Linked DNA regions of Danio rerio. The protein of the gene in region 1 interacts with the protein of each later gene in a pairwise test. Links are inferred from orthologs where the notes say so. Each region holds a gene or a part of one and is shown on either strand. Other genes may lie near its edges.

Region 1 (3,659 bases):
ATGGATCCCAGAGCCCACATTCACTGCCACCATTAAGCCCTGGCCACCTGCAGAGCCCACATTCACTGCCACCCTCCAGCCCTGCCCGGCTACAGGCCCGGACCTCCACTGCTATCTCCTCATCCCCTCTCCTCACCGCCCCGCACGTGAGTGCTAATCAATGCGGCACATGACACACCACACTATATACACATATATTCCTAATGGAAATTTGCATACAGTTACGTCTTAAGCAGTTCTATTTAAAGTGAAACTCTGTCTTGTGTTGAAATGCAGAAGCTGCAGGGAACATCAGGCCCTTTGATGCTGACAGAGGAAGAAAAGAGGACTTTGATCGCTGAGGGATATCCTGTCCCCAACAAACTACCGCTCACCAAAACCGAAGAGAAAGCACTCAAACGGGTGCGCAGGAAAATCAAAAATAAGGTATTGATAATGATTACATACTATTAATATTGAAATAACTTGGTTATTAAAACAAGTCTCTTATTATATAAGTTTTGTGCATATACAGTTGAAGTCAGAATTATTAGCCCCCCTGTTTATTTTTTTCTCCAATTTCTGTTTAGCGGAGAGAAGATTTTTTCAGCACATTTCTAAACGTAATAGTTTTAATAACTCTTATCTAATAACTGATTGATTTTATCTTTGCCATGATGACAGTAAATAATATTTGACTAAATATTTTTTAAGACAATTCTATACAGCTTAAAGTGACATTTAAAGGCCTAACTAGGTTAATTAGGTGAACTAGACAGGTTAGAGTAATTAGGCAAGTTATATATAACGATGGTTTGTTCTGTAGACTATCGAAAAAAATTTGCTTAATGGGGCTAGTAATTAAAATGGATTTAAAAAATTAAAACTGCTTTTATTTTAGCCGAAATAAAACAAATAAGAATTTCTCCAGAAGAAAAAATATTATCAGACATACTGTGAAAATTTCCTGTATATGGAAATAATTTATGGATCAAAGAAAAAAATCCTACAGTACTTTTGATGTTAATATGAAATTTTATTTGGTTAATATATACATATAATTGTATATAAAATATTGAACACATGAAGAAATAGAGGTGGAAAAAGGAATGGAAAGCCCAGATAGCAGATGAATTCTCTCAGTAGTTAGTAGAAAGTCTATTGAAGTGTGAAAATCACACCTGAAGAATGCAAAATTCTCCAAAGCTACCACTAACAAAAAAGCCTTTTATGCAAAATATTCAATATATTTCAGTAGTTCATTACTTTCTCCTTTTGCCATTCCATGTTTTTACACATAACACTTTTTAAAGATTTTTTTTTGCATTACTTGTATGTTTGGGTGTTTTTAACATTTTTTAAACCAAAATCTGGGTCAATTTCATGTGAACAGCTCCTTTAGAAATATAAACAGTGAGCATAAACAAGTACACCCCTCACAGATCTCTCTTATGAATCAATTTTTTTCTAAAATATTTTTCTGAAACTTGAACAATTCTAACAAAAAAACTTAAGATTAGTCAAAATATTGGTACACCCAAATTAATATGTTAGAAATATATATACAGTGCTTAGCATATATAAGTACATATTTATATTTTCTAGGAAGCTGTACAATATTATATTTATGCAAATACATTAGATTAGTCAGTACTGAAGCCAAATCTTGGTTATTCAGGGATGGGTTACGGCTGAACGGGCATCCGCTGTGTAAAAACTTGCTGGATAAGTTGGCGGTTCATTCCGTTGTGGCGACCCCGGATTAATAAAGGCTAAAAAAAAGCTGAAAAGAAAATTAATGAATGAATGAATTTTCAAAAACAGAAACAAATCAAGATAAACAAAAAATGTATGCAATTTTGTTAAAATGTTGTTAGTTTGTAATTTTTTTTTTATATTTTGCATGAATTTATTGTATCATCATTCCATTTTTAAAGATGTTTGGTGACTAAAGTATTATTTTAACAAATGTATCTGTTTAATAAATCTGTTTTGTTTAAATGCACCAATATTACCCATATTCACAGATAAATGGATAAAAATATTCATTTTCAAAATGGAGTGTATTCATTTATGCTAAGCACTGTAAATAATATACAGAATAATATACAATTAAATTATTATATAGCATTTTTTTCCCACTAATTTGATTTTAAATTTATTAACTTTCTATTCCTAAGGATATTCAGTTACCAACTCTTATTTTAATTGATATAACTGTTTGATGAAACTGCTATTAATTCCTTAAAATATATTGTCTACATTCACTGAGAACTGCATAAAAGTATATTTATTTTCATTTATGCTGAGCACTGTATACCAAGTAAAATCATGAGCTGTTCAATACTTACTCTAGCCACTGTATTAATATATGAATAATATATTTACGCTCATTATAATATTTTTTACATTCTTTTCTTAGATCTCTGCACAGGAAAGCCGCAGGAAGAAGAAGGAATATGTGGAGTGTTTGGAGAAGAAGTAATTCCACTCTATTATCTCTCTCTCTCTCTTAAATGCTTTGTTCTCTACCTCTTTTCTCTCTCTCTCCTGCATTCTGACTGCTGTCCTTTTCTCCTCTGCTCTTATTTTCCCTTCCTCTCTTTTGCTTTGTTTATCCAACAGCATCCACTCTCTCTGTGCCTTCATCCTTCGTTCTCTTCGATGACCTCCTCTCCTTTAATCCTCTCGTCATTCTCACCCCAGCATACCCTCAAAATGCGCTATACCCTTCTAGCTGTTTTATGGCTTTTATTGTGTGAATATGGCCAATGGCTACAGTCCATGCACTCATTGGTGTATGTGTGTGTGTGTTTGCGCGCGTTTGCATGAGTCATTTTCCCTTTTGTGCTGCTGTTAGGCTCTCAGGGTTTGGATAATGTGCTGGAGAGACTGGACTCACACTGGACACACTCACACACTGGCTTTTCTTGCTTATATGTGGTCATACTTATGGAAACGTTTTTGTAAATGCATCTCAATGTGACCGTGCGCAATAACACACTCTTTCTCTTTTACTCCTCTTCAGAGTGGAGAACTACACTTCAGAGAACAATGAACTCTGGAAGAAAGTTGAGACGCTTGAAAATGCCAACAGGTGAGGAAGCACATGTGTGCTCGTGTTTAATCACGGCGAATACTTTATAGGTGGATTTTAATACATTTAAGTGTGGCTGTATTTGCGGTAAGTGTGCGGGTCTTTGCAGTCAGCAGGTGTTGTTAAGTTGATCCAGATGCGTGCAGGTCTTAACCTCCCCTTCCGATCATATAGAGCAGCACCTTTTCATTCTCTCCTGGGTGGCCTGCTTAGAGTATTGGCGCTGTCGACAGGCTGCTGTCTGTTCCTACTGTTTAGAGAGACAGAAGAGAGGGCACCGTGGGGGATTGGGTGTTATCAAAGTCAGCACTTTTTTTGTGGATTAACTGTAGCTCATTGGAGGCGAAAGCTCTTAAGGGGTAGTTCATTTAAAATGAAAAACGAAAAATCTGGAGGAATTTTTCTTCTTTTTTGGAACATAAAATTATGCTTAGTTATGTTTTAGATTTGTTTTATCTGTAGAATGAAAGATTGGGTGTTTTCTGAAGCTTGCTGACTTTCATATGTGACCCTGGACCACAAAAGCAGTCTTAAGTTCCACTGTAAGAAATCTTATGTGCTATTTACTTTAAAATATAATGGT
Region 2 (3,759 bases), on another chromosome or scaffold:
TGCACAATTGCTGCTGCGGAGAAACCGAGAGTCCATTAGGCGCACCACTGCCAGGTAGCGGTCCACGCTCATGCAGGTGAGGAAGAAGATGTTGGAAAAGCGGTTAACCGCAATGATAAAGCTGCTAATCTTGCATAACACCTCACCAAAGGGCCACTCGTCATAACGGGTCGAAATTGCCCACATTGGCAGCGTGAGAACAAACACGAGGTCGGCTAGTGCCAGGTTCAGCACGAAGGTGTCTACCAGGCGTCCACTTTTCTTGCGCCGCTTTCCAATGACCACAATCACAAACAGGTTTCCCAAAGAGCCGGTGAGGAACATAATGATGTACAGCACAGGAATGTAGATGTTAGACATGGGCAGCAGTTCAGCGTCGGGAAGGGTGTAGATTGGATTCTCGTCCGTGGAATTAATTGGATAGTCATAGTCATATTCACTTGTCAAGCTCATTGTAATTCCAGAGTGTGCCATCTCTGTGCTGCTTGCCATCTGTGCACAAGTGATGGGCAATGAAGAGAAAACCTAGCAAGTCACATGATGGAAACCACAAACTGCAATAACAGGTTCTCTCATGCTCTGTTTCCTTAAAAGTTGTAAATTTAACACAAAGTGACACTTTTCTTTATATTTACACTTCTAAAATATCAATCAGTGATTTATTACATTTTTGGACTTACTGCTCTAGTGTAATTACTTAAAACATTTGAAAAGGCTGTTTTTGCTCATAATGAGCTTATGTACATTTAAAGATGGACACCAGAAGAATCTTTGAGACTAAATAGTTCACAGAATCTTTTGTTTCATAGTAGGAAGAACAGTGTCATTCAATCTAAAGAAGATTTTTGCATTTTAAACAACTTTTAGTGGGATGAAAATGCTTCATGATTGTTCTGGGATCTCCACTGAAGCACCGATGGGAATAAAGATTTTAAGAATTCCATATTTTGTATATGTAATAAATCAAATGTGAGTGCCATGGGATTTTATTGAATGATTTAAAGCAGTTTTCTCATAAATGCGTAAACACTTCCTCTTTGTCAGTATAAGACGAAAAAAAGCACCTTGCAAGCAGTTAAAAGAAAAAAACGGTTGATGTCATGCCTTTTAGTTTTTAATTCAGCTTTGCAACAAACTAAAGAATAAAGTGCAGAGCTTATTTGAGTCATGTGTGATGTTGTGGTTTCCTGGGTTTTACTCTGCATTTTCTAAACTTTAAGACCTTTCAGGCTCAGACTGGATAAGACAAGTTTAGTATAGACATTTAGCTTTCAAAAGCACCAAAAGTTCACTGATGATCAAATTAGTAATCCTTCGGTGAAGTTCTTTTTTAACAAACAAACTGATGTGTAAAGAAAGGGTCTCACAGTTAAATTTAAAGCAACCAGTTTTCTGCTGGTCAGTGTGGCAAATTCATGTGGTGAAATCTTGTGGGAATTTTTGTACTCTCAAGCTAAATCTTAGATCGACATGCAAATGAGTGGATTTCAAAAGTGTAAGTATAACTGTAACACTTATAATATAACTTCACACTTCGTGACAGGTGAATAGACAACAAGAAAAAAGAAAAGTGAGATAATTTCACACAATTGAAAACCTAAAAGGAAAGCTTTTTTAATCAGTATTAAGAAATGTAAGGTGCATTCCAGTGTTTTATCTTACAAAACATCAGTTTTATTTAAATTTGTGTGTGTGTTTCAGTTCTTGTCACTTGTAGGGTTTATCGCAAGCTGGGTTTAGTGGGACCTTGGCAATAAGCTGGATAGTCGAAGATTTCCCGTGCTGATATGTTTGCAAGTCATTAGAAAGACAGTGCCCTTTATTAAAGATATGCGCAACACTGTACAGAAGCCACAAAACAGATCTTTTAAATTCATTACTATCATTCAATATTTATAACATTAAATATTTATTTAATCATGACAAAAAAAATTAGCACAAAAAGAAAGCATTTTTAGACTATTCTGAATATTCTGCCCTGGCAATGGTGTTCAAAACCAAAGCTGACAGATAGTTAACAGAAATAAAGCACCATCACACTTTCTTCTTGCGAATGTGAAGCACCTTTACTTGATTTGCTTGTAAAACTAAAAAGGAAAAATACAAAAGGTAAAAATTACAAAGTGATTACGAAATATCACAAATAATATACATCTTTCACATTTGTAAACATAAACTGACATATTTAAACTGATATCAAACAGCTAAATAAACAATCCAGGCACTTTAATGACGTGCATCTATATGCAAGCTTGTTAGCATTTAAACAGAACATCAAGCATTAAACATTTCAACACTGACCCTCCTTAATCAATTTAACCCAAAGGAAGTATTGCAGATGTTTTCAAAATAAAATTAGTAACTTACAGTCGTTTCTATCACAAGGGCTAAAAGCAAACAACAAGTCGCGTCTCTGCATGGCGATCACAGTCTCTTCTTCTATGACTTTTTAAATATCCGGTTGTTCTAAAGAATGGCGCAATGACATTTTCACAATTACACCACTTAAATAAATCAATGCACAGCTTACCAAACGAATCAACACCATACAGTACACTCCCCGCCTGGTGTATTGCATATACCACTATGCTTTTAATCACTAGATAAAAGTAAAGCTACGTCACATATAGGCCATAAGTACTCCCTGACAGCCCCTTGCTTAGCAGTCTTTACCATAACCTTTCGGACTTTCCCATCAGATGAGGCTACGGTTTTTGTTACGAGGCCATTTGGCCACTCACTGCGCTTAGCTTCCCCATCCTTTAACAGAACAACGTCTCCTTCCTGAATGTTATCTCTCTCCTCAGTCCATTTTCTTCTGGATTGCAAGGTGGACAAGTACTCCTGCTTCCATCGCTTCCAGAATGAATCTGCTAACATCTGGACTTGACGCCACTGACTTTTGTGCAAGTGTCCTAACTCAAAGTTTCCTGGTGGAGTTGGGGCAACACTTGCTTTCTGAGTTAAGAGCATTGCTGGTGAGAGCACTTGAGGCATACTTGCATCTGTAGAAATTGGGGTTAAAGGTCGGGAATTCATAATGGCCATGACTTCTGCCATTATGGTTGTTAAGACTTCATGTGTGAGTCTTGTAGCAGATTTTACTAAGAGCGCTTCCAGAATACGTCTGGCTATCCCCATCATTCTTTCCCACACACCCCCCATATGAGAGGAGTGTGGAGCATTGAATGTCCAAGTGCAGCTTTGATTCTGCAAGAACCCTTTTAGCTCAGAGTCGCCACTGTCGATTTGGAGTTCTTTCCCTGCTCCAACAAAATTCGTCCCTCTGTCTGATCAAAAGTGCTTTACTGGCCCTCTCACAGCCAAAAAATGTCTCAAAGCACAAATAAAGCTTGACGCTGATAAAGATTCCATAACTTCCAAGTGAACTGCTCTACTACTCAAGCAACTGAATATGACAGCCCATCGCTTGTTCTCAATGTTGTGCCCTCTTGTTTTGCGTGTCACCACAGTGAAAGGTCCAAAAACATCAAGACCTGTGTATGTGAAAGGTGGATCTACAGAAAGCCGGTCTGGGGGCAGAGCCGACATCTTCTGACTTTCCATTTTACCTCTTAGCTTTTTGCATAGGACACATTTGTGGATGATATTTGAAATGCGTCTTTTACCGCTGACAATCCACAATCCAGCACTACGTATAGCGCCCTACGTAAAATGCCGTCCTTGGTGAGCCACTTGATCATGATAATGCTGAATTAAAAGATCAGTCACATGATGGCTAGATGGAAGGATCAAGGG
Region 3 (3,659 bases), on another chromosome or scaffold:
TCTGGTTTGGCGATCCTAACCCTCTGCATTTATCAGGTTTTGGTGAGCTTTCCACTTATCAAAAACCTGTTGTTAGAAACCTAGGATTTCAATTCGACAGTGATCTGAAATTTAACAAACAAGTAAATACAGTTGTTAAATCCAGTTTTTACCATTTACGACTTGTGGCAAAAGTAAAGTCGTTTCTCTCTTTTAATGACCTTGAGAAGGTGATCCATGCTTTTATTCTGGGAAGACTTGACTATTGTAATTCTCTGTATGTGGGTATTAGTCAAAATGCCCTAAACAGATTGCAATTAGTACAGAATGCAGCTGCGAGACTTCTGACAGGGACTCGCAAGTTTGAGCACATATCCCCAGTTCTTTCCTCTCTGGGCTGGCTGCCTGTTAGGTCGAGAATTGATTTTAAACTATTGATCTTTGTTTTTAAATCCTTAAACAATCTGGCACCATCATACTTATCAGACCTGCTACACGTATACAATCCTGGTAGGTCACTGAGGTCTTCTGATGAATTTATTCTATCTGTACCAAGGTCCCGGTGTAAGCGAAGTGGGGATCGGGCTTTTGCTGTTGTCGCCCCAAAACTCTGGAACGGGCTTCCGCCCCACATCAGACACGCTCCAACTCTACCTGTTTTTAAAAAGCGTTTAAAACACCATCTTTGTTCCTTAGTGTTTGAGCCTTTTTAATGTTGAGGGATTTGCCTTATGTTTTAATTGTTATTTATGTGATGTAGATTTCATGTTTAGTATTGATTGTGTTCAGCACTTTGGGCAACGTTGTGTTGTAAAAAATGTGCTATATAAATAAATAAACTAAACTAACTAAACTAAACTAAACTAAACTAAACTAAGTGTATTGGGTTTGGTGAAATTAACTAATTTCCTTAAAGAATTTTAGCCATTTTAATATCTATCAAATGTTCAACTTTTGTCAATAACTTTTGAAATTCAGAGAGAATTTTCATGCAGTAGTTTGGCCCCAATTGGCAAATGACTATGCAAAATTACATTTCAAATGTGCCCAATAATTTTGTCAATCTTTGATAAAGATTATAATTAGCAGTGCGTTTTAATTATAAGTGTTTTAAAGATCAACTTGAATGTGAGATCTAAATGTTATAAGAGGGGAATTGAGCACCATAATCAATAATTCACAATATAAACTGTTGAGTGATACTGTAAACGTGTATCATATGTTCATATTATACAAGTATATTTCTGAAGCTTGCTACGAACAGTTTAAAACACGAAAAACTATTCTAACAAACTACGGCTTATAAAATTTGAGTTTTAGAATTCATTTGAAAAGAAATACACATTTATTTAGCAAAGACTCCTTTAAAGTTCATTCATTCATTTTCTTGTCGGCTTCGTCTCTTTATTAATCCGTGGTCGCCACAGCGGATTGAACCACCAACTTATCCAGCAGGTTTTTACGCAGCAGATGCCCTTCCAGCCGCAACCCATCTCTGGGAAACATCCACACACACATTCACACACACACACTCATACACTATGGACAATTTAGCCCACCCAATTCACCTGTACCACATGTCTTTGGACTGTGGGGGAAACTACTGCGCCACTGCCTCGACCCTCCTTTTAAGTGACATTATAAAAATTCTGCAGATAAATGCAATTTCTGCTGACATTTTAGACACTTTTTAAGTTTTAAACCTCAAAAACACTTTACAAGAAATACAATTTTCTTCATATCTTAAATCTGATTAATGGTGACCATAAAATTCCCCAAATATTAGCAATCAATTATAGTTCATAATAATTTCTGAGTTGATTTTAAAATCATTTCTCATAAACCATTGAGGGAAATTAGGGTGGGGTGAAGAACAGAGATGTTGCACTCACTTCCTTCTTCACAGTACGTGTTGTGCCGCCTGTAGAAGTAGACCGCCAACACACAGCAGCCGCCGTTGAACAGGAAAAGGCGGAGCTTAAACCAGTACGACATCATCTCCTGGTGACAAAGCGGGTTCGTGAAGAAAGAGAAGAGAGAAAAAAGAGAAAGAAGACACACAATGTCATCAGTTCTCTTCTGCAACGCGATGTGGAGCAAGCAGGTGGAGCGCGGCTCTATGAAAATACTGCAACCACTTCCCCCAGAGCTGCACTTTCACAGCAGCACAAATATACAGACACACTGCGGTCTTTGACACATTAACTCCCAGAATTCTCACCCGGCGGCGCAAAAGCAACACCTTTTATTAGAGCTGTGCGAGTGGTGTCAAGATCACTTGTGTGTTAAGAGCGTAGCTGAATAATTAGAGAAAGTCTATGTATGAGAATATAAGCTGAGTGTAAAATTGAACAGTAAAAGATTCACATGTTAAAATCACATGTGAGATGTGCATGAAATGTTTCACATGTGATTTTAACATGAGGTTCACAAGATGTTTATTAGACGCTAGAGGGTTTTTTTTATGGGATGCTAATCTGTTTTTTTTTTTCTTATCCCCTCATTTTGTTTGAATGCCTAAAAAATTATTGCTGGGCAAAAATATATTGCGATTAATCACATCCTAAATAATAATAAAATTGTACACACTTATTATATATATCTATCCATGTAACACAATTGTTTTGTATGGTTTTGTTTCTATGCATGTGTGTATCACATATACATATTAAGATCCTGGATCTTTTAATCTTGATAACAGATCTCTGGCTAATTTGGTTCTTCAAGCAAGTTCGTGATTAGATAAACATTTCTGGATAAGCTGATCTGAGATCAATGCATGTGTTGTGAAGGACTGATCTGTCGATCATCAAAATCATGATCAGCAATGAAACGATTAGCTGACAGCACAGCAGTGTAATGACATCATCTGATTATTATTCAATTACTCATGTGAGCAAAATTATATAAAATTCATTGTAAACGGTTTTTTAAATATAAATGTTTATGTTTGTATATTTGTTAAATACGCAATAACTTTCCACCTTTGTTGTGCACCACAGGCTTTATACTTTTATGTGTCGAGAGTATTTAGCAATTTATTTATTTTACATTAGAGCAGATTTTCTTTATTATAGTAGCCAAGCCCTATTTAAGTTTCTTAATCTGCATAAGGAATAACTGTCTGTTTATTTTAATTTTGCATCAAAAACATTTTGATATGGGTAAAGGTGTCCAGAGCTTTTGTGAAGCATCAAATCAAGCATATTAGATGTCAAAAAAATGTGCATGACTGCATAAATTATTATTCCTTAAAAAAAACAAAAAAACATGGGTCCGTTCTTCATACCTCGCTTAAATGATCTAAGATGATTTGGCAGATCCTGGATCTTTTCATCTCGATAACTGATCTCTCACTAATTTGGTTCTTCAAACAAGCTCGCGAATCAGATTAGAATGTCTGGATGAACTGATCTGAGATCGCTGCGTGTGTTGTGAACGACTGATCTATCGATCCTCGAAATCATGATCTGCAATGCAACGATTGGCTGATGGCAGCGTAATGACATCATCTGATTAATATTCAATTATCCATGTGAGCAAAATTACATCAAACTAGCAGTAAACCGTGTTAAAAGACACGCAATAACCTTCCACATTTGTTGTGAGCTGCAGGTTTTACACTTTCATGTGTCAAGACTATTCATTATGTATTTCAATGCCTATCAGTGTATTTAGTT

What was found.
Region 2: the proteins of creb3l1 (region 1) and gpr25 interact in binary tests that used the Homo sapiens proteins (3 or more experiments, as listed by UniProt). The two-hybrid records come from large-scale screens. The link is inferred for Danio rerio from reciprocal best matches to the Homo sapiens genes CREB3L1 and GPR25.
Region 3: the proteins of creb3l1 (region 1) and pgap2 interact in binary tests that used the Homo sapiens proteins (3 or more experiments, as listed by UniProt). The two-hybrid records come from large-scale screens. The link is inferred for Danio rerio from reciprocal best matches to the Homo sapiens genes CREB3L1 and PGAP2.

What each region holds. Positions count from the first base shown.
Region 1 is NC_133182.1:39,151,929-39,155,587, forward strand, and holds part of creb3l1 (cyclic AMP-responsive element-binding protein 3-like protein 1), read left to right. Parts: coding exon 1-55; coding exon of another isoform or gene 56-124; coding exon 125-146; intron 147-276; coding exon 277-426; intron 427-2,401; coding exon 2,402-2,460; intron 2,461-3,007; coding exon 3,008-3,076; intron 3,077-3,659.
Region 2 is NC_133186.1:26,792,319-26,796,077, reverse strand, and holds the start of gpr25 (probable G-protein coupled receptor 25), read right to left. Parts: upstream 2,444-3,759; 5' UTR 493-2,443; coding exon 1-492. UniProt on the Homo sapiens protein: Orphan receptor.
Region 3 is NC_133196.1:33,641,295-33,644,953, forward strand, and holds part of pgap2 (post-GPI attachment to proteins factor 2), read right to left. Parts: intron 1,981-3,659; coding exon 1,872-1,980; intron 1-1,871.